Anolis sagrei: one gene and its partner. The protein of the gene in region 2 interacts with the protein of the main gene of each other region in a biochemical or structural test. Links are inferred from orthologs where the notes say so. Each region holds a gene or a part of one and is shown on either strand. Other genes may lie near its edges.

Evidence for each region.
Region 1: of the proteins of MARK3 (region 2) and KSR1, one has a biochemical effect on the other in vitro, tested with the Homo sapiens proteins (2 studies listed by BioGRID). The link is inferred for Anolis sagrei from reciprocal best matches to the Homo sapiens genes MARK3 and KSR1.

The regions. Positions count from the first base shown.
Region 1 is NC_090031.1:21,358,117-21,370,196, reverse strand, and holds the start of KSR1 (kinase suppressor of Ras 1), read right to left. Parts: upstream 5,537-12,080; 5' UTR 5,328-5,536; coding exon 5,070-5,327; intron 2,652-5,069; exon of another isoform or gene 2,371-2,651; intron 2,259-2,370; exon of another isoform or gene 2,165-2,258; intron 1-2,164.
Region 2 is NC_090021.1:327,714,774-327,727,627, forward strand, and holds the start of MARK3 (MAP/microtubule affinity-regulating kinase 3), read right to left. Parts: upstream 5,425-12,854; 5' UTR 4,573-5,424; coding exon 4,516-4,572; intron 1-4,515. UniProt on the Homo sapiens protein: Serine/threonine-protein kinase. Involved in the specific phosphorylation of microtubule-associated proteins for MAP2 and MAP4. Phosphorylates the microtubule-associated protein MAPT/TAU. Phosphorylates CDC25C on 'Ser-216'.

The DNA of each region.
Region 1 (12,080 bases), on a different chromosome or scaffold from region 2:
CATCCTTCCTTCTCTCTTTCCTTCCTTCCTTCTCTCTCTCTCTCTTTCCTTCATTCCCTCTTTATTTCCTTCCCTTTTTTCCTTTCCTTCTCTCCTTCTTTCTCTACCTTTCTTTCCTTCCCTCCCTCTTTCTCTCCTTCCTTTTTTCTTTCCTTCCCTCCTTCCTTCTCTACCTTTCCTTCCTTCCCTGCTTCTTTTCTTCCTTCACTTTCATTTCCTCCTACCTTCCCCCTTTTCTCCTACTTCATTCTCTCTTTCTTTCCTGCTTTCTCTTTTTTTCTTTCCTTCTCTCCTTCCTTCTCTCTTTCTTTCCTCCCCTCCCTTTTTTCCTTTCTTTCTTCATTCCCTCTTTCTTTCCTGCCTTCTCTTTTTCTTTCCTTCTCTCCTTCCTTCTCTACCTTTCCTTTCTTCCCTCCCTCTTTAACTCCTTCTATCCTTCTTCATTCCCTTTCTTTCATTCTCTACCTTTCTTTCCTTCCTTTTCTGCTTCTTTTCTTCCTTCACTTTCATTTCCTCCTTCCTTCCCTCCCTCTTTCTTTCCTGCCTTCTCTTTTTTCTTTCCTTCTCTCCTTTCTTCTCTACCTTTCTTTCCTTCCTTCCTTCTCTGCTTCTTTTTCCTTATCTCCCTCCCTCTTCCCTTCCCTCCCTCTTTTTCTCCTTTTTTCCTTCTTCATTCCGTTTCTTTCCTGCCTTCTTTTTTCTTTCCTTCTCTCCTTCCTTCTCTACCTTTCTTTCATTCCTTCTCTACCTTTTTTCTTTCATTCCTTCTCTGCTTCTTTTCTTCCTTCCCTCCCTTTTTCTCCTTCTTTCATTCCCTCTTTCTTTCCTGCCTTCTCTTTTTTCTTTCCTTCTCTCCTTCCTTCTCTGCCTTTCTTTCCTTCTCTGCTTTTCTTCCTTCCCTCCCTTTTTCTCCTTCTTTCCTTCTTCATTCCCTTTCTTTCCTGCCTTCTCTTTTTTCTTTCCTTCTCTCCTTCCTTCCATTCCTTCTCTACCTTTTTCCTTTCTTTCCTTCTCTGCTTCTTTTCTTCCTTCCCTCCCTTTTTCCTGCCTTCTCTTTTTTCTTTCCTTCTCTCCTTCCTTCTCTACCTTTCGTTCCTTCTCTACCTTTTTTCTTTCTTTCCTTCTCTGCTTCTTTTCTTTCTTCCCTCCCTTTTTCTCCTTCTTTCCTTCTTCATTCCCTCTCTTTCCTGCCTTCTCTTTTTTCTTTCCTTCTCTCCTTTCTTTCGTTCCTCTCTGCTTCTTTTCTTCCTTCCCTCTTTTCTTCCTTCCTTCCCCTATAAGTCCCAATACAATGGCTCCCAGTAAACCCTTTCCCTGACCCTGCAGATATCCCCTCCTTTTTTAAAGGAAAGGGGGCGGGGCCGAAAAAGGAGCCCCACACCCAACTCCAAGCAGCCTCATTTTTTATTATTTTTGGGCTTGGCCTCATGTTAGCTGCCCCAAGTCCCCTTTGGGGAGATGGTGGCAGGGTATGAATAAAGATTATTATTATTACTATTAATATTATTATTTTCTTTCCCTCCCTCTTTCTCTCCTTTCTTCTTTCTCTACCTCTTTCTCTTTGATCTTTGGTTCCATCCTTCCTTTTCTCTATCCTTCCTTCCCTCCCTCTTTTTCTCCTTCTTTCCTTCTTCCTTCCCTCCCTCTTTCTTTCCTTCTCTACCGTTCTTTCCTTCCCTACTTCTTTTCTTCCTTCCCTTCCTTTCTCTCCTTCTTCATTCCCTATTTCTTTCCTTCCTTCTTTCTCTGCACCTTTTCTTCCTTCTCTCCCTCTTTTTCTCCTTCTTTCCTTCTTTCTTCTCTTTCCTTCCTTCTCTTTTTTTCTTTACTTCTCTCTTTCCTTCTCTACCTTTCTTTCCTTCCCTGCTTCTTTTCTTCCTTCTTCCTCTTTCTCTCCTTTTCTTCTTCATTCCCTATTTCTTTCCTTCCTTCCTTCCCCGCTTCTTTTCTTCCTTCCATCTTTCCTTCTTTCCCTCCCTTTTTCTCTTTTCCTTCTTCATTCCCTCTTTCTTTCCTGCCTTCTTTTATTCTTTCCTTCTCGCCTTCGTTCTCGACCTTTCCTTCCTTCCTTCTCTGCTTCTTTTCTTCCCTCCCTCTTTCTCCGAGTCTTCATTCCCTTTCTTTCCTTCCTTCTCTTTTTTTCTTCCTTCTCTACCTTTTTTGCCTTCCTTCCCCCTTTCCTTTCCTCCCTCTTTCTCTCCTTTCCTTCTTCATTCCCTCTTTCTTTCCTTCCTTCTCTTTTTTCTTTCCTTCTCTACCTTTGCTTCCTTCTCTGCTTCTTTTTTCCCTTCCCTCATTCCTTCCCTCCCTCTTTCTCTCTTTCCTTCCTTCTCTTTTTTCTTTCCTTCTCTTTTTTCTTTCCTTCTCTACCTTTCTTTCCATCCTTCTCTACCTTTGCTTCCTTCTCTGCTTCTTTTTTCCCTTCCCTCTTTCCTTCCCTCCCTCTTTCTCTCCTTCTTCATTCCCTTTTTCTTTCCTTCCTTCTCTTTTTTTCTTTCCTTCTCTACCTTTCTTTTCATCCTTCTCTACCTTGCCTTCCTTCTCTGCTTCTTTTTTCGCTTCCCTCCCTCTTTCTTTCCTTCTCTTTTTTCTTTCCTTCTCTACCTTTCTTGCCTTCCTTCCTTCTCTGCTATTCTTCCCCCTTTCCTTCCCTCCCTTCTCTTTTTTTCTATCCTTCTCTCTGTCCTTCTTTACCGTTCTTTCCATCCTTCTCTGCTTCTTTTTTTTCCCTTCCCTCCCTCTTTCTTTCCTTCCTTGTCTCTTTCCTTCTCTACCTTTCTTGCCTTCCTTCCTTCTCTGCTTCTTTTCTTCCTCCTTTCCTTTCCTCCCTCTTTCTCTTTTCCTTCTTGCTTCCCTCTTTCTTTCCTTTCTTCTTTTTTCTTTCCTTCTTTCCATCCTTTTCTATCTTTCCTTCCTTCTCTGCTTTTTTCCCTTCCCTCCCTCTTTCTCTCCTTCATTCCCTTTCTTTCCTTCCTTCTCCCTGTCCTTCTCTTCCTTTCTTTCCATCCTTCTCTACCTTTCCTTCCTTCTCTGCTTCTTTTTTCCCTTCCCTCTTTCTCTCCTTCATTCCCTCTTTCTTTCCTTGTCTCTTTCCTTCTCTACCTTTCCTTCCTTCTCTGCTTCTTTTCTTCCTTCCCCCTTTCCTTTCCTCCCTCTTTCTCCTTTCCTTCTTCATTCCCTCTTTCTTTCCTTCTCTTTTTTCTTTCCTTCTCTCTGTCCTTCTATCTATACCTTTCTTTGCTTCTTTTTTTCCCCTTCCCTCTTTCTCTCCTTTATTCCCTCTTTCTCTCCTTCTCTCTGTCCTTCTTTACCGTTCTTTCCATCCTTCTCTTCTTTTTTTCCCTTCCCTCCCTCTTTCTCTCCTTCATTCCCTTTCTTTCCTTCCTTCTTTTTTTTCCTTTCCTTCTCTCTGTCCTTCTTTACTGTTCTTTCCATCCTTCTCTGCTTCTTTTTTTCCCTTCCCTCCCTCTTTCTCTCCTTCATTCCCTCTTTCTTTCCTTTTTTTTCTTTCCTTCTCTACCTTTTCTGCCTTCCCTCCTTCTCTGCTTCTTTTCTTCCTTCCCCCTTTCCTTTCCTCCTCTCTGTCCTTCTCTACCTTTCTTTCCATCCTTCTCTACCTTTGCTTCTTTCTCTGCTTCTTTTTTTCCCTTCCCTCTTTCCTTCCCTCCCTCTTTTTCTCCTTCATTCCCTCTTTCTTTCTTTCCTTCCTTCTCTTTTTTCTTTCCTTCTCTCTGTCCTTTTCTACCTTTCTTTCCATCCTTCTCTACCTTTTCTTCCTTCTCTGCTTCTTTTTCCCTTCTCTCCCTCTTTCTCTCCTTCATCATTCCCTTTCTTTCTTTCCTTCTCTTTTTTCTTTCCTTCTCTACCTTTCTTGCCTTCCTTCCTTCCCTGCTTCTTTTCTTCCTTCCCCCTTTCCTTTCCCCCCTCTTTCTCTCCTTTCCTTCTTCATTCCCTCTTCTTTTCCTTCCTTCTCTCTGTCCTTCTCTACCTTTCCTTCCTTCTCTGCTTCTTTTTTTTCCATTCCCGCTTTCCTTCCCTCCCTTTCTCTCCTTCAATCCTTCTTTCTTTCATTCCTTCTCTTTTTTCTTTCCTTCTCTCTGTCCTTCTCTACCTTTCCTTTCTTCTCTGCTTCTTTTTCCCCTTCCCCCTTTCCTCCCCTCCCTCTTTCTCTCCTTTCATTCTTCATTCCCTCTTTCTTTCCTTCCTTCTCTCTGTCCTTCTTTACCGTTCTTTCCATCCTTCTCTACCTTTACTTTCTTCTCTGCTTTTTTCCCTTCCCCCTTTCCTTCCCTCCCTCTTTCTCTCCTTCATATTCCCTTTCTTTCTTTCCTTCTCTTTTTTCTTTCCTTGTCTCTTTCCTTCTCTTCCTTTCTTTCCATCCTTCTCTGCTTCTTTTTCCCCTTCCCTCTCTTTTTCTCTCCATTCCCTCTTTCTTTCTTTCCTTCTCTTTTTTCTTTCCTTCTCTCTTTGCTTCTCTACCTTTCTTGCCTGCCTTCCTTCTCTGCTTCTTTTTTCCCTTCCCTCCCTCTTTCTCTCCTCCATTCCCTCTTTCTTTCCTTCTCTTTTTTTCTTGCCTTCTCTGCTTCTTTCCTTCCCTCCCTTTCTCTCCTTCGTTCCCTTTCTTTCCTTCCTTCTCTACCCTTCTTGCCTTCCCTGCTTCTTTTCTTCCCACTTTCCTTTCCTGTCTCTTTCTCTCCTTTCCTTCTTCATTCCCTCTCTTTCCTTCCTTCTCTCTGTCCTTCTCTACCTTTCTTTCCATCCTTCATCTACCTTCCTTCCTTCTCTGCTTCTTTTTTTCCCTTCCCTCTTTCTCTCCTTCCTTCCTTCCTTCCTTCCTTCCCCTATGAGCCCCAACCCAGTGTCTCCTCCCAGGTGGCCCCTTCCCTGACCCTGCAGAGTCCCCCTCCTTTTTTAAAGGGAAGGGGGCGGGGCTTAGAAAGGAGCCCCGCCCCCAATTCCGAGCGCAGCCTCCCCCTCCCCTTGGCCAAGGGTGAGCAGGGAGTGTGTATATGCCTCTGTGTGTGTCTATATATCTATCTCTCTCTCTCTCTGAGGGGGGACTCCTTTACCTCCAGGGCGCGGATCTCGTGCTGCGTGAGGTCGTTGGAGGCGGCGCACTTGGTGCGGAGGCCTTGCAGGCTGGAGAGGGAGATGTCGATGAGGTCCTGCAGCTGCCCGCATTGCTGCGCCGCGCAGGCCGGCCTCCCTCCGCCTTGGCCTCCTCCTCCTCCTCGGCCTCCTCTTCCTTTGGCCTCCTCCTCCTCCTTGGCCCGCCCGCCCTTCTTCTTCTCGCCCATCCTCGGCGGTGGCGGCGCTGCCCTATCCATGCCTCGGCATCAGGGAAAAATGGCCTCTTCTTCTGAGGAGAATCCGCCTCAGGAATACTGCTCCCCTTCTCTCCAATAGATCTTTCCCTCTGAGGAAAAATCGAGGCAGGGCTGCAGGAGAGGCCTCCGCCGCAGCATCCACCTGACAACAGCCCTCCGCCTTCTTCTTCTTCGCCTCGCGACGGTCTTTATTTATATCGGCTGCGAGGGGGGCGGGGGGACCGGAAGGAGCGGGTTGGCTCCCGCAAAGGATGCCGGGGGATGTAGTTCTCTGCAGAGGGTGGGCGGCCTCTCTCCCCATTCAAGCCCAAAGAGCAACCATGGTAATAAGAGGCATAGGTCTGTATTTATATCGGCTGCGAGGGGGGCGGGGGACCGGAAGGAGGGGGTTGGCTCCCGCAAAGAATGCCGGGGGATGTAGTTCTCTGCAGAGGGTGGGCGGCCTCTCTGCCCATTCAAGCCCAAAGATTAGAGCAACCATGGTAATAATAATAATAATAGGCATAAGAGGTGGACCCTCAATAGATACAATGTAGACAATATAGTATGTAATATATAATTATATACTATATAATATATAATCATATAACCTTATAATATAATATATTGCATATTATAAACAGTGATATTTATATAACTTAATATAACATATATAATATGTTATATATAATAATATATTGTATATTGTATACAATATAATAATATTATGTATATAAGTAATATAGTAATATACGTTTATATTATATACAATACATATATATATCATGTAACCTTATAATATATATAATATGTATTGCATATTAAATACAATTTAATAGTGTATATAATAATATATGTGGATAGTGGATACGTTCTATTGATTGGCCTATTGGCCGTATCAAAACATTTAACACATAACACAATTAACACATAGTCATACATACAACCCTCGGTATAAAAGAAGTTAAAATAAACAGCTGTCATAATATATGTAATATATGTAGAATTATAAAATCATAGAACGATAGCGTTGGAAGAGACCTCATGGGCCATCCAGTCTAGTATATCAAAATATATTGCATATTATAAACAATATAATAATATATATAAAAGGTAAAAAGGTAGTCCCCTGACATTAAGTCCAGTCATGTCTGACTCTGGGGTGTGGTGCTCATCTCCATTTCTAAGCCGAAGAGCCAGCGTTGTCCGTAGACACCTCCAAGGTCATGTGGCCGGCATGACTGCATGGAGCGCCCTTACCTTCCCGCCGGAGCGGTACCTATTGATCTACTCACATTTCCATGTTTTCAAACTGCTAGGTTGGCAGAAGCTAGGGCTGATAGCGGAAGCTCACGCCGCTCCCCGGAATCGAACCTGCGACCTTTCGATCAACAAGCTCAGCAGCTCAGTGCTTTAACCCACTGCGCCACAGGGGGCTCCATATAATATATATAAATATATATAAATATATATAAATATATAGTATATATACAATAATTATATTGTATATAATATGCAATATATATTATAAAGTTATAGGATTATATATTATAATCATATAACTTTATAATATATATTGCATATTACATACAACATAATGATATGCATAATAATATGCATTGTATATTATATACAATATAATAGATAATAAAATATAATACATATATATACATTGTATGTTCATATAACCATATAATACATATTGTGTATTATATACAATATCATATATATATATTATACATAATCATATAACCTTATAAATATTATATATATTGCATATTATATGCAATATAATGATATGCATAATAATATGCATTATATAATATATATAATATAATACATAATATAATATATATAATATAATATATATTGTATGGTCATATAACTATATAATATATATTGTGTATATATATATATATATATATAATAAACATAATCATATAACCTTATAAATATTATATATATTGCATATTATATACAATATAATGATATGCATAATAATATGCATTGTATATTACATACAATATAATATATATTGTATGGCCATATAACCATATAATATATATTGTGCATTATATACAATATATATATATATATATATATACACACATAATCATATAACCTTATAAATATTATGTATATATATATATTGCATATTATATGCAATATAATGATATATACAATAATATGCATTGTATATTATATACAATACAATATGAAATATAATATCATATATATAATATAATATATATTGTATGGTCATATATAATATATTGTGTATTGTATAACCATATATATTGTGTATTATATACAAAATTATATATATATATATATATATATATTATATACATAATCATATAACCTTATAAATATTATATATATTGCATATTGTATATAATATAATGATATGGAGCCCCCCGGTGGCGCAGTGGGTTAAAGCGCTGAGCTGCTGAGCTTGTTAACTGAAAGGTCACAGGTTCGAATCCGGGGAGCGGCATGAGCATCCGCTGTTAGCCCCAGCTGTTAGCAGTTCGAAAACATGCAAATGTGAGTAGATCAATAGGAACCGCTCCGGCGGGAAGGTAACGGCGCTCCATGCGGTCATGCTGGCCACATGACCTTGGAGGTGTCTACGGACAACGCTGGCTCTTCGGCTTAGAAATGGAGATGAGCACCACACCCCAGAGTCAGACATGACTGGACTTAATGTCAGGGGACAACCTTTACCTAATGATATATACAATAATATGCATTGTATATTATATACAATATAATATATATAATATAATATATATTGTATGGTCATATAACCATATCATATATATATATAAATATATAGTATATACAATATACATAATCATATAACCTTTTAAATATTATATATATTGCATATTATATACAATATATATTGCCATATAACCATGTAATATAAATTGCATATTATGTACAATATAATATATATATATAAATATATATTATATACAATATATAAAATCATATAACCTTAAGTTCTATGAGGAAGAACTTCCTGACTGTGAGAGTCGTTCAGCAGTGGAACTCTCTGCCCCGGAGTGTGGTGGAGGCTCCTTCTTTGGAAGCTTTTAAACAGAGGCTGGATGGCCATCTGTCGGGGGTGATTTGAATGCAATATTCCTGCTTCTTGGCAGAATGGGGTTGGACTGGATGGCCCATGAGGTCTCTTCCAACTCTTTGATTCTATGTCTTCTGATATAAATATTAAATATATTGCATATTATATACAATATAATGGTATATATAATATATTGTATATTATATACAATATATATAGTCATATAACCATATAATATATATTGCATATTATATACAATATAATAATATATATAAATATATATTATATACAATATATATAATCATATTATAGAGTTAAGGGAGAGGCAGTGGGCGGGGTCATGCAAATCCCACACCAATGGAACGAGTAAGAAACACTGGGATGTCTGTGGTGGAGGAAACACACAAAATCTGGGATGAAATTGTCCACGTAAGAAAGCCTTCACTTGGGTGGTGTTCGTGAAGGATGTAGGCAGGGCTCTAGGACATATTCATGGCACTCACTATAACCTCCAGTGTCATTGGAAGGAAGGCCATTAGTGTCTCCTGATTGGAGGGGTCAAAATTCATAGTTTTTCAGGGCAACCTCCATGCAGCTATGCCTCATGTGGCCAACAGAGGGAGCCACTGAGTTCAATTAGTATTTTAATCTATCTATATATGCATATAATAAAGGTGAATATATGCATGGTGTGTATGGCTATGGAACTATAGATTCTGTAGGCGGGTGAGGCACCAGTACTCTTTGGCAGCAAAGGTAAACTATAAATCCCAGGATTCTATAGCACTGAGCCATGACAGATACAGTGGGGTCAAACTGCATTAATTCTACAGTGTAGACCAGGCATGGGCAACACTTGAAGGTGTCTACGGACAACGCCAGCTCTTCAGAGAGGAAACAACCAGGCACAGATTAACACCTCCCAGCAAGAGATTTTCCCAGGCTCAGGCAGGCCTTCAAATGCTAATGAAGGTGGTCAGCTGAAACATTCACACCTAGCTGCAGCAGGGAAGAGCTCCTTGCCCCACCCCAGCCATTCCACAGATATATAAACCCATTTTCCTACTTCCAACAGACCTCACTACCTCTGAGGATGCTTGCCATAGATGCAGGCGAAACGTCAGGAGAAATGCCTCTAGAACATGGCTCTATAGCCCGAAAAAACCCACAAGAACCTAGTGATTCCAGCCATGAAAGCCTTCGACAATACAATAATAATTGTATTTATTTATTTATTATTCAATATAATAATAAACAATATATAATAATATATAGAAATAATAACAGTGTAATAATACTAATATATATATATTGGGCCCCCTGGTGGCGCAGTGGGTGAAACCGCTGAGTTGGTGAACTTGCTGACTGAAAGGTCGGTGGTTCGAATCCGGGGAGCGGGGTAAGCTCCTGCTGTTAGCCCCAGCTTCTGCCAACCTAGCAGTTCGAAAACATGCAAATGTGAGTAGATCAATAGGTACTGCTCTGGCGGGAAGGAAAGGGCGCTCCATGAAGTGATGCTGGCCACATGACCTTGGAGGTGTCTGCGGACAATGCCGGCTCTTCGGCTTAGAAATGGAGATGAGCACCACCCCCCAAAGTTGAACTCAACTAGACTTAATGTCAAGGGGAAACCTTTACATTTACCTTTATACAAAATAAAAATAATAATAATAATAATAATAATAATAATAATAATAATAAACAAGATAATAATATATAGAAATAGTAACATTGTAATAACACTAGTATATTATATATTGGGCCCCCTGGTGGCACAGTGGATTATTATTTATTATTACTTATTTAGGGCTTTTATATCACGTCCTTTCTCAACCTCCGCAGAGGGACTCAGGACGGCTAACAAAGTGGCACCCCATGGCGCCCATGTCAAAACATAAATATACAATTAACAGCAATTAACAGGATTAAACTGCTGAGCTGATGAACTTACTGACCGAAAGGTCGGTGGTTCGAATCCAGGGAGAGGGGTAAGCTCCCGCTGTTAGCCCTAGCTTCTGCCAACCTAGCAGTTCAAAAACATGCAAACGTGAGTCGATCGATAGGTACTGCTCTGGTGGGAAGGTAACAGCAAGCAAAGTCTGGACTGTGTCCAATTCTGGGCACCACAATTCAAGAGAGATATTAACAAGCTGGAATGTGTCCAGAGGAGGGCGACTAAAATGATCAAGGGTCTGGAGAACAAGCCCTATGAGGAGTGGCTTAAGGAGCTGGGCATGTTTAGCCTGAAGAAGAGAAGGCCAAGAGGAGATATGATAGCCATGTATAAATATGTGAGAGGAAGCCACAGGGAGGAGGGAGCAAGCTTGTTTTCTGCTTCCTTGGAGACTAGGACGCGGAGCAATGGCTTCAAACTACAAGAGAGGAGATTCTATCTGAACACGAGGAAGAACTTCCTGACTGTGAGAGCCATTCAGCAGTGGAACTCTCTGTGTGGTGGAGGCTCCTTCTTTGGAAGCTTTTAAACAGGGGGTGGATGGCCATCTGTCAGGGGTGATTTGAATGCAATGTTCCTGCTTCTTGGCAGGGGGTTGGTCTGGATGGCCCATGAGGTCTCTTCCAACTCTTTGATTCTATGATTCTATGAGCAGCAGATTGGACTACATGACCTCCAGATTTTAAGTATGCAAATGTGAGTAGAGCAATAGGTACTGCTTTGGCAGAAAGGTATCAGCGCTCCATGCAGTCATGCTGACCACATGACCTTGGAGACATCTACGGACAATGCCAGTTCTTCAGCTTAGAAATGGAGACGAGCACCAATCCCGACAAAACGGTGGCAGCGAGGCAGCGTCTTCAGAAAAACAGCCGGACTCCAGGATATGGTTTTGGGGGCAAAAAAGGTTATTCCCTGGGCGGAAAGGACAGCGGAGCGAAACCGAGATAGCCATTAGTCTTAGAATTCTTCCAAGAGAAAACTGACACCATTTTCAAGGCGATCGGTTGACCCGCGGATACGGGGCCCCGAAGGGGGTTTCCGTATCCGCGGTTTAAGGGAAAGCAGTTTTGGCCTTTATTGAAAGGTTTGTTGAAAGAGAAGCTTTGAGGCAGCAAAGGACACAAAGTAACACTATGGAGAGGGAAAGGTTACAATTAATTGATACTTTTTATTGGGAGGATTAGTTATAATGTTAGGAAGGGGAAAAAGCAAAGAAATGAATCATAGAATCATAGAATCAAAGAGTTGGAAGAGACCTCTTGGGCCATCCAGTCCAACCCCATTCTGCCAAGAAGCAGGAATATTGCATTCAAATCACCCCTGACAAATGGCCATCCAGCCTCTGCTTAAAAGCTTCCAAAGAAGGAGCCTCCACCACACTCCGGGGCAGAGAGTTCCACTGCTGAACGGCTCTCACAGTCAGGAAGTTCTTCCTCATGTTCAGATGGAATCTCCTCTCTTGTAGTTTGAAGCCATTGTTCCGCGTCCTAGTCTCCAAGGAAGCAGAAAACAAGCTTGCTCCCTCCTCCCTGTGGCTTCCTCTCACATATTTATACATGGCTATCATATCTCCTCTCAGCCTTCTCTTCTTCAGGCTAAACATGCCCAGTTCCCTAAGCCGCTCCTCATAGGGCTTGTTCTCCAGACCCTTGATCATTTTAGTCACCCTCCTCTGGACACATTCCAGCTCGTCAATATCTCTCTTGAATTGTGGTGCCCAGAATTG
Region 2 (12,854 bases):
TGAGCATTCTCCTTGCTCGGTTTGTAGATCTTATAGATTTGCTCCTAGAGAATGACATAACACCCAGTAGTGTCTGAAAAGAAATATAGGTTTCTACATTGGCTTGTAGAATTTGTCTTCCCTTTTAACAATTACTTTACATGGTTCAGCTTCAAGCACAAGCAAGAACAATGCTCATTCAGCATTTTTCTGAGAATCAATATGAAACTGTCGGAAATATTATCTGTTTCTGCCAATAGGAGCTGATGAATATTACCTTGGAAAATTTAGCACTGGTTCATTTATCTCTCTTCTCTATTATCATGAGAACTTTTAAGCATGCAATGTAATGAAGGATTCAGGACTGTCAAATCCAAAAGTACTGCTAGGATACCTTGAATTTTCTGCTTTTTTCAGCTATTCCCCTCCTACTGCCACCACAGCTAAAATGGAATAATATTTTAAACCCAGTAATTAAAGAGGGAAGCAAACATTTATTAAGTTCTACATAAAGGTATCAATTCTAAATTTCCAAATTTTAAATGAAATCAGGGCAACACTAACCTGTGTTACCTTTACTCATATTAAGGATCCTCCTGTGATCTAGTACTTTTGTGGTCAAGAGCATGCCTCTGTGTAAATTACAACTCATCAGAGTACTATCTATATTCATACTCTGCATCCAACCAACCAATCCAGTTATACCTTGTTTGTGAGCTCTGACATGGCAAGCCAAGCAAAAACCAGCCACAAGTCCTGCCACATTATTAATTTTATATTTTTACATCAGAACCAGGACCACTTCTGAACATAAATACTTCAGACCAATAAGTCCTACCTTTGCTTCATTTTAAAGTACAGTGACCATCACCTGACAACCTATTTAAAAATTCATCTCATCCAGACTAAATAATCACACTAAAATTATCTACATAGTTCTATCCAATGACCTTCTAGATATAGTTATTCTAAACAAGAGTAAAAAAAATTGAGTGGCCGTAAGATTTAACCTACTAAAGAAAATCTCATAGTTAACAATGAACTACAATGAAACACTGAACAGGTTTTCCCCCTAAAATGAAACATTGTGGGCCTGAAAAATGTACAAATATTCTATCGATGAATTATTTATAATTGAATACAGCCTTTAAGCTTCATAAGCTTTGTTTCAGGAACTAAAGTAAACAAACTGTGAGATTTTATCTGAGTCAACATATACAAAGCACCGACAATACAACAATTGTTCCACCTCCCTATCTAAACTTGTTTCAAGTACTTTCAGTCAATGACAAGCAGACTAGATCACACAAACACAAAAATAAGCTTAGTCTATCTTTCTCGTCTTCAAAAGTATCACAGATCTCAACAGTCTTCATTCTTAAGATTATCAAACTGTCAGCTTTTCTGGTTCAACAGTAAAAGAAAATCTGCATTGTGTTTAGAACCCTCTATCAATGAATATATACACAATACATTTTACAGAAGGAATATCCATAGCTATCGTTTGATTCGATTTTTTCATTAAATCCAGCAAATACAGAGAAATGGCTACCTTTACTTTAATGAAGTAAAACAGTTTCACAGCACTAAAAAAATCATGCTAATTAAAAATTAATGCAGTTTTCTTTAATATCTATGTACAATACATTCAAGCACTGAAGGTGGCATAAGGCACCCTCAAGAGAAATACAAATCATATTGAGATATGTTATCTAGGTCACCCTGTGAATTATTTGTGAAAGGAAACGACCCACTCCTTCCTTCCTGCCTGCCGTATGTTTATTCATAATCTGCTTTTAGTCTTCAGCACATGTTGTGTCCAAGATGTTGGATGTTCAAGTCTCTCTTGCATTTCTAAGACGTAAGAGTAAAGTGTGATGGGCTCAATAAGAATGAGTGGGGAGGATCCCAAATTTAAACATGAACAGCAACTTACTGTAGGAAGGCCTTAGTAGGTGTTTTCCTAATAACAATGTTCATCATAGCAACCCGCAAAACATCTGTTATCACATGTCCAGCTGCCAGACAATGCCTGTTGTAATAACAGTAAACCTGAGGATATGTTACAAAATTTCAAGCTCTGACGGAAGTTTAGTTATCACTGTTATCACTGTATGTGTGTATGTACATACAGGGTGGGCCAAAAGTCACAAAGGGATTTCAATACTTAATAACATCTTTATTTTTATTTACAATACCAATACAGTATCTCTCATATATGAATGAAACGAATTTACATTATGTGTGAAAAATTTAATCTTGTAAAGAACCATGTGCATACACCCTATCTATCTATCTATCTATCATAGAGTTGAAACAGACCTTGTAGGCCATCCAGTCCAACCCCCTACCAAGAAGCAGGAAAATCACATTCAAAGCACCCCTGACAGATGGCCATCCAGCTTCCGGGGCAGAGAGTTATATCCTGCTTTATCTCTCCATATGGAGACTCAAAGTAGCTCACAATAAAATAATTACAACTTAAAATATACAAATATATAATAATAAAAGTATATCATATATGATTATACATTATCAGTAGTATATTTAATGCATTACTATTATGGCATTACAATATTATTATAAATTGTATTGTATTATTATTAGTATTGTATTGCATTATAATATTATCAAGGTTATATTATATATAATATATTATATTATTAGCATAGCACAATATTAGTATTGTATATTACTATACTGTACGATACCACTATACTCCAAAATTATTAGTAATAATACATGTAATATATAATATACAATTATTATATTACTACATTTTATTATATTGTACTATATTATCATAGCACAGCACAATATTAGTATTATATATTACTATATTGTACTATACCACTATACTCCAATCTTATTAGTGACTAGCCGTCCCCTGCCATGTGTTACTGTGGCCCAGTCTGTGTATATGTGTTTTCTGTGTGTATATATGTGTATATGTGTGTGTATATTTGTGTATATGTGTATACATGTGTGTTTGTGTGTATATATGTGTGTGTGTGTGGTTTTGCGCATGTGTTGTAATGCATTTTTGGTTTTTTGGCTTTTTAAGTCTCTTCTGCTGTGTTTTTCAGTGTTTTATGAATGAAGGCCACTCGTTGACTTGATATGTGCATTGTGTCCAAATTTGGTGTCTATTCATCCAGTGGGTTTTGAGTTAAGCTAATCCCACAAGTGAACATTGCACTTTTATTTATATATAGAATACATGTAATATATAATATACAATTATTATATTATATATTATTATATTGCAATATATTATTATACAATATATATAATACACTACCAGTATAGTACACTATTAGTATATAATATATTGTACCATATCATAAGTTGTAGTACATATAATATAAAATATATTATATTACAACATTATTAATATTATATATAATATATACCACTATACACAATACCACTATACTCCAAAATTATTAGCAATACATGTAATACAATCAACTACCAAACTTGCAAATTTTGTGTTTTGTCTGTTTGTTTGTTTTGTTCTGTTAGAAATTGACTGGTTGCTCTGACACGACAAATAAATATTACTACATATATATGTGTGTGTCTATTATCATAGCACAGCACAATATTAGTATTATATATTACTATATTGTACTATACCACTATACTCCAATCTTATTAGTGATGATTCATGTAATATATAATATACAATTGTTATTATATTATATATTATTATATTGCAATATATTGTTATACAATATATATAATACACTACCAGGGTAGTACAGTATTGTACCATATCATAAGTTGTAGTACATATAAATATATATGTATATTATCATAGCACAGCACAATATTAGTATTATATATTACTATATTGTACTATACCACTATACTCCAATCTTATTAGTGATGATTCATGTAATATATAATTATATTGCAATATATTATCATACAATATATATAATACACTACCAGTATAGTACACTATTAGTATTATATATTGTACCATATCATAAGTTGTAGTACATATAAATATATATGTATATTATCATAGCACAGCACATTATTAGTATTATATATTTCTATATTGTACTATACCACTATACTCCAATCTTATTAGTGATAATACATGTAATATATAATATACAATTGTTATTGTATTATATATTATATTGCAATATATTGTCATACAATATATATAATACACTACCAGTATAATACACTATTATTTATTTACTTTATTTGTATACTCTTCTCAGCCTTTAGTATTATATATTGTACCATATCGTAAGTTGTAGTACATATACATATACAACATTATTAACATTATATATAATATATTTGTATCTTTACTTTACAATGTTATTATTATATTGCATATAATAATTATATTGCATATATTGAGGGGCTCCCAAGTGCTGCTGCAGGAGGCACCTTGTAAGAGGGAAGCAGAACAGGTTAGGACATTCAACATTCGCTATTTCATTCAAAAAGATGCTCAATTAGCATAAAACTACAATACACTCATTATGAACAACCCTGAACAGCACTCACATTTTCAGTGTCCCGCTCATTCACGGTGGGCAATGGAGTTCTGGTGGACATTTTCATTCACTTGTGCTGATGCCCCGGTTTGCGATGGCCAAACCCAGGAATATTATTATTATTATTATATCAAAAAAATAAGGGGGAGAAGAAAACCCTAACGCCCTCCTCCTCCAAATATATAGAGAGATATTTACAACAAAAAAAGAATAGTTTTACAGCATGACAGTGGTTTGGAGTTGCCACCATCAAGGGAAGAAAAGAATAGTTTTACAGCATGACAGTGGTTAGGAGTTGCCACCATCAAGGGGAAAAAAGAGGAGAGTGTGTGAGAGGGAGTGAGGTGTGGGGGGTGATTTCTGGGCCTCCTCCTCCCCGAAGAGGAGCCCCCTGCCTCATTTATAGCCTAACCTGATGGAGGAGCCTTGGGGGATCATCCCACAGGGAGATTAGGCTCCTTGGAAGGTGGAAGAGGAGGAGGATTAAAGGGGAGAGGGGCTCTCATGGAGGGCAAGGAGGGACGAAAGGGGAATGGAGGAGGGATTAGGCAAAGAGGGGAGCAAGGGGAGACTAGGTGGAGAGGAAAAGGCAGGCCCTACAATGCTCTAAGGAAAGGGAAAAAAGGAAGGAAGGGGAAAGAGGAGGGAGGAAGAATGGCCCTGCTTCGCTGAGCACCAGGATTGTCCCTCGGAGGCTCCCGTCCGCCCTTCCGCCTTTCCTAGGCCTCACCGGGCCTAGGCTCCCATGTTTCAATCCGAGCGCGAGGGAAGAAGAAGAAGACAAGAAGAAAAGAAAAAGAAAGGCCGCAGCCCGCCTCAGAGCCAGCCAGCCAGCTCCCTCCTTGCTTCCTCCCTTCCCTCCCTCCTTCAGCAAAAGAGTGCCGGATGATCCAAGATGGCCGCCCGGCTTCCTCTGCGCCGACGTGAACCGGAAGAGACCACCCCTTGCACTGAAAGGGAGCGGAGCGGGGGAAAGAGAGGCAGAGGGCGTAAGTGCGCAGGCGCAGTAGAAGCGCGTGCTTCCCTCTCCCTCCCCCCTCCTCCCCTTGTTGCTAAGGAAACGCCGAGCCATGGGAAAAGAAGGCGGGGCTTCTGTGTGGGCGGGGCTTCGTGGGAAGAATGCCCTCCCTCATTTTGTGTTTTGGAGTTGGATGGAGAGTACGCGCCATTGCCACTGCCAGAGCTCAATGCTTTGGGGTTTTGTGAGAATGGTCGTTTTACAGGTTTATTTTAAAGCCTTCTCTGCCCATGAGGGCTGGTGCCACACCAAGCTACAACTCCCAGGCAGTTAAAAGTACCTGTCCGAATGTATTCTCCCCTATGAACCATCAAGAGGGCAAAGATCGTCTGGGAAGGCCCTACTCCCGGGCCCGCCATCTTCGCAGGCGCGTCTGGTGGGGACAAGAGACAGGGCCTTTTCTGTGGTGGCCCCTTGGCTATTTATTTATTTACAGTATTTCTATACTGCTCTTCTCACCCCTAGGAGGACTCAAAGCGTTTACACATAACTTTTTTGTCCGAATGTATTCTCCCCTATGAACCATCAAGAGTGCTAAGATCGTCTGGAGAGGCCCTGCTCTCGGTCCAGCCATCTTCGCAGGCGCATCTGGTGGGAATGAGAGACAGGGCCTTTTCTGTGGTGGCCCCTTGCCTATTTATTTATTTACAGTATTTCTATACTGCTCTTCTCACCCCTAGGAGGACTCAAAGCGGTTTACACATAACTTTTTTGTCCGAATGTATTCTCCCCTATGAACCATCAAGAGTGCTAAGATCGTCTGGAGAGGCCCTGCTCTCGGTCCAGCCATCTTCGCAGGCGCATCTGGTGGGAATGAGAGACAGGGCCTTTTCTGTGGTGGCCCCTTGCCTATTTATTTATTTACAGTATTTCTATACTGCTCTTCTCACCCCTAGGAGGACTCAAAGCGTTTACACATAACTTTTTTGTCCGAATGTATTCTCCCCTATGAACCATCAAGAGTGCTAAGATCGTCTGGAGAGGCCCTGCTCTCGGTTCAGCCATCTTCGCAGGCGCATCTGGTGGGAATGAGAGACAGGGCCTTTTCTGTGGTGGCCCCTTGCCTATTTATTTACTTACAGTATTTCTATACTGCTTTTCTCACCCCTAGGAGGACTCAAAGTGGTTTACACATAACTTTTTTTTTTTGTCGTGTCAGGAGCATCCTGTTGTGAGAGAATTGACCGTCTGCAAGGACGTTGCCCAGGGGACGCCCGGATGATTTTTGATGTTTTATCATCCTTGTGGGAGGCTTCTCTCATGTCCCCGCATGAGGAGCTGGAGCTGATAGAGGGAGCTCATCCGCCTCTCCCCGGATTTGAACCTGCAACCCGTCGGTCTTCAGTCCTGCCAGCACAGGGGTTTAACCCACTGCACCACCGGGGGTTCCTTACACATAACTGGCAAAACTTCAATGCCATACATTGGACACTGACGCAATCTCAATCCATAACAACCACAATAATAAAACGACAATTAAGCATAAATCATAATTAGACTGTACATAAGCAATAATTAAAACAATAAATAATAAAAACAGTCTCGCCAGTCATATTGTCATTCTAGTCCATGTCCTTTGAACTCTACAAACATCTACTGTCCGAAGGCCTGGTCCCAAAGCCATGATTTTAATTTCTAAGATCTTACCTTGGAATTTCCTTCCCAAATGAAATTAGATCTGCCCCCTCCCTCCTGACCTTTAGGAAGCTAGTGAAAACCCAGCTGTGGAACAAAGCCTTTGCAGAATAATGTCTGAGACTGGTAATCTAACAAAGTTACTGACCACAATATATGGACTGAACTGGACACGATTTTATCTTGGCGAACGGCTTTTATGTAATTTATTTTATTTGTATTTGGTAATGTAATGTTGTTGTAATATGTTTTAGATTTTAATGTTAGCATTGAATCTTTGCTGTCAGCCGGTCCAAGTCCCTCTTTGGAGGTAGAAAAGATTGGGATATAAAAGTTTTAAATAAATAAATAAATAAATAAAAGTGGTGTCAAACTGCATTCATTCCACAGTGTAGATCAGACCTGTGCAAACTTGGGTTCTCCCTCCAAGTGTTTTGGACTTCCAACTTCCACCATTCCTAACAGCTGGTGCAAAAACAAATTGTACAGGAATTTTGGGATTTGTTGTCTTTGCTTTTTTACTTAGGTGATCCCTCATAGCTCGAGGATGATGGTCCTCCAGATGTGGTGACTTGGAGGTGGGGTCCGTAGGTGGCTGTGGAGCCCTTTTCTTCATCTGCATATTCTCCCGCATTGAGGACATCGGTTTCCAGACAGAAGTCAGTCCTGATCAGGGTTGGCTTGACGCACCTTCCTCTTGGCATGTTTCTCCCTCCATTTGTGCCTCTCACAATTCCGCAGCACTGTTGGTCACAGCTGACCTCCAGCTAGAGTTCTCAAGGGCCAGGGCTTCCCAGTTCTTGGTGTCTATGCCACCGTTTTTAAAGTTGGCTTTAAGCTCATCTTTAAATGTCCAGAGAGCTAGACATAAGCACTAATACATATTTTGGAGCAAAAAGGAATATAGGACCCTTTCTTACTTTTGGGGAAACAGGGTAATTTGGAAAACTCCAAATTACCATTCCATTTCATTCTACACATATTGGACCAATGGCAAGCTCTTTAATCTCAGCAGGCTGAAAGCCAAAACCAATTTCAGAAGAAGGTCCATTACAGAACTCAAGTATGCTGATGATGTAGTCTGTGCTCGTTCAAAGAAAGACCTACAAGTCACTTAAACACCTTTGCAGAAGCATATGAAAAGCTAGGCCTCTCACTGAACATCGAAAAAACCAAAGTGCCCTATCAGCAGGCACAAACCAATCCCTCTGCAATGCCAGAAATGCAATTTAATGGTGTAACACTAGAAAATGTTGGCCTTTTCTGCTACCTTGGCAGCCAGTTCTCCGCAAAGTCAACATTGAGACAAGTGCAACACTGCCTGAGCTCTGCAAGTGCAGCATTTTTTCGAATAAAACAGAGAGTGTTTGAGGATTGGGACATTCGTAGGGATACTGAGATGCTTGCTTATAAATAATAGTAATAATAATAATAATAATAATAATAATAAATAAATAAATAAACTTTATTTATAACCCACCACCATCTCCCCAAGAGACTCAGAGCGGCATACAACAACACATCAAAAACAACAAGCAATAATAAACAACAAGCAGTAAACAAAATAAACAATACAATTCGTATAATTCACAGGCGGATAATAACAAGAGAAATTTAAAAACCTAAAGCTATTGTCCTCCCAACCCTGTTATAAGCCTGCAAAACATGGACCGTCTACAAGCGTCACACTCAACTTCTGGAACAATTCAATCATTGTTGCCTCTGAAAAATCCTGCAAAGTTCTTGAGAAGACAGGTGGACAAATGTCAGCGTTCTGGAAGAAGCACCAGAAGTCCACCAGCACTGAAGTGATGATCCTCTGCCATCAACTTTGCTTGACTGGCCTCTTTGTTCAAATGCCCAATCACCATCTCCCAAAGCAGTTACTTTACCCTCAGCTCAAGAACAGAAAACAGAATGTTGGTGGGCAAGAGAGATTTAAAGATGGGCTTAAAGCTAACCTTACAAAATGTGGAATGCAAGCAAACCTTTGTCGGGACTGCTTTCCATCTGGAAATCTATGTCCTCACTGCAAAAGACCATGTGGATCTAGAATAAGTCTCCACAGTCATTTACAGATCCACCGCCAAGACTCTGTTGGAACATGTGAGAAATCAGTGTGTGTGTGTCAACTGTAAAATAAGAAGCATGAAGCTGATTGGTAAGGCTATGCCCAGGGAGCTGGCTGAGCCTGGGAATTTTGGTTACTATTACATTTTTTAGGCTTGAGCTATGCAGGTGCTTGCAGAGAGAAGCAGAGAGAAGCAGAGAGAGATGGTTTAAAGTGTGCTCTTGCTTCAAGAGCTGCTGAAGGGAGATTTCTCCCTTTAAACCATTTTACATCTCTCAAAAAAGGACATTATGCGAGTCGATGCAACTAATCACATAATTGTAGATATGTTGTTCTGAATTACATAGAGTAAACTACTTGCTCTTAATAGATCATCTGCGTGGCATATTTTCTTTCTCTGGCAAGGCAGCATATGAGCTGATCAAACGTGAACTACGTGGTTTATTTTCACGTTACGCCTCAGACTCTACCTTTGGAAGACAATCATTTGGCCACAATTGATTGCCCGTGACATGTTCTGAAGCACTTTGTCAGGATTTTTTTAAATCCCCCAAAGAAAGGGAATTTAATATGACCAGAGTGTCTGAAATATCCTAGATACCTACAAAGAAAAACACAGTAAGTGGTCAGAACAAAATGCCAATTGAAGAAATGGAGTACATGTGGTGACCTTTTTAAGCCATGAAAGCAGTTGCTGGCAACTGGAGTCTTTCTAGCTCAGCTGATCTAATTTATTTCAGTCCAAAACAAATAGAATCAAACTTCCTGATAAGCTATAGTTTGGAAATTTGCATAGAATTCAGTTCAATGTCATTTATATCCTCGTTAAATGAGCTATAGCATTGTATTCTGACCATGTGTGCCTTCCTTGGCTTCTAGGTCTGCCCGCTTTGATTTCGCATAAAGTGCTTTTCACACAAAAGGGATTTTTAAAAAATCATCAAGGGACCTGCTATGCAAATATGTGGGCGATTCTCGGATCTGAAATGCCTCCTATAAAGAGTCATAAATCAAACCTTGAGTTTTCTTTCATTTCCCCTTTTCATGCATCATATAACAATGGCAATTGCAATGTTGAAATTGACGTTTGGGTGCATACAGCATGAATATGTATTTTACAACAATCCTTGTTCACATTTCCTGGGGGTGTTGTACATTTTGCTCGATGAGGATTTCTCACTGAATCAATGCCAATTCCTTTTAATGGCTAGGAGCAGCTTCAATACACCTCACCTGTTTGAATTGTGGCGGAAGGAAGCATTTCGATGTTTTTTTGCAAAATAGAAACATTACTGTAGCTTGCAACTTACTCATATGAGGTGGTTGGAAGTGGATTTCAATAGTGTGCCATTGTTGATTTCAATATTTTTACTAATTTTTCTGATTCTTGCTTCTTCCTCTTTGCTCCAGTTTTACAATAAGTGGCACTTTAGAATCGAAGAAATACGGTCTACATGTTCCATTTTGTCCTGAGGCAGCAGGAAGCCCAGAGAGCCTTTTTTTTCCAATTTGATTATGAGGTTTAAATAAAAGGGGAATTGTGCATATATTGGGATCTCAGCTGCCCGCTGCCTCAGGAAATAATGGAACATGTATTTTGTATTTTTTCTATTCTAAGATGCCATTTATTATAAAACGCATCTAATTTCAGCTACACACATACACACACACATATATGAAAAAGCACCTGGATGGAGAGAAAGAGCAAACGAATCTATGGACAGATTTAAACTACTGTAGTCCTGTGATTCTAAGATTCAATTAATTGTACGATGCACATTTATTTATTTGCGATATTTCTATCCCGTCTTTCTCAAGCCCGAAGGCGACTGAAGGTGGCTTACAAATTGGCAGCAATTCAATGCTACAACAATCCACAATTAAAACATCTAAAACAGTATTATAAAATCAATATAAAAACAATTAAATACAAAAATAATTAAAAACATATAATAACCATTGACTTACTGTTAATCTCACTTTCCAATAGTGTTGTTTAAGCCATTCCATGTTTCAAACTTACATAATTCCATGTTTGTCTATTGCACTGCATTTCCAAAGGCTTGTTCAAAGAGTTTTTACTTTTTTTGGAAGGTCAGGAGGAAGGGGGCTAATCTAATATCCCTAGGGAGGGAGTTCCACAGCCGAGGAGCCACCACTGAGAAGGCCCTGTCCCTCGTCCCCACCAAATGCGCTTGTGAAGAAGGTGGGATCGAGAGCAGGGCCTCCCCAGATGATCTTCCATTCCTTTATGGTTCATAGGGAGAGATACGTTCAGACAAGTAAGCTGGACCGGAACCGTTTAGGGCTTTATATGCTAAAGCCAGCACTTTGAATTGTGCCCAGTAGCAAATTGGCAGCTGGTGGAGTTGGCGCAACAGAGGAGTTGTATGCTCACTGAGCGCTGCTCCAGTTAGTAACCTGGCTACTGCCTGTTGGACCATTTGAAGCTTCCGAACAGTCTTCAAAGGCAAGCCCACATTGCAGTAGTCTATATGGGATATAACCAGAGTGTGAATTACCGTGGCCAAGTCAGACTTCCCAAGGTATGGGCGCAGGTGGCGCACTGAAACCTGGGGTTCCAGGCTTAGCGATGAATCCAGGATCACTCCCAAACTGAGAACCTCCGTCTTCAGTGGGAGTGTAACCCCATCCAACACAGGCTGTAACCCTATGCCCTGTTTGGCCTTTCAACTGACCAGGAGGACCTCTGTCTTGTCTGGATTCAGTTTCAGTTTGTTCACCCTCATCCAGACTGTCACAGCGGCCAAGCACCGGTTCAGGACCTGGACAGCCTCCTTAGTAGCAGGTGGAAACGAGTGACAGAGTTGGACATCATCTGCATACAAATGACACCACACCCCAAAACTCCTGATGATCTCCCCCAACGGCTTCATGTAGATGTTAAACAACATAGGAGACAGTATTGTGCCCTGCAGGACCCCACACTCATTTCAGTACCAACAAAAATACGTAAGACACATCCACGATTCTAAAACACACCCAATTTTTAGAAATATATATGGGAGTGCGTGCCTTAGAATTGAAGAAATTAAGTAATACGTCATCCTGTGTACATAAAGAATTGTGTGGCATTCCAGATATCATTGGGCTGCACCTCCCAATATTCTTTATCCTTGGATATGCTGGCCAGGACGGATGGGAATTGCAATCTGATAGAATTTGGAGAAATGTACAATTCCTATTCTTGATTTAGACGAACAAGCCAGTATCTTTAGTGCTCACTTCAAAGGCATTTTCATGCTTCTTTTAACACCAATCATTCTTTAAATAGTAGGAATTTGTGGGAATCCAAACTTCTACAACTGTTTAAATATTACCACCATTACCATAAGAAATGTTAGACTGCTGGCCACTATGGGGTGCATCTATACTGTAGAATGAATGCAATTTGACAACGTTTTAATTGCCACGGCTCAATGCTATGGAATCCTGGGAGTTGTAGTTCGAGGAGGCACCCACATTCTTTGGCAGAGAAAATTAAAGAGCTTGTAAAACTACAGCTCCCATGATTCCATAGCATTGAATCTTCCACAAGCAGCTAAAGCCCTTTTCCTGCCAACAGGCATTTGGAGACAGATAAGGGGCACACTGCTGGAGTTGT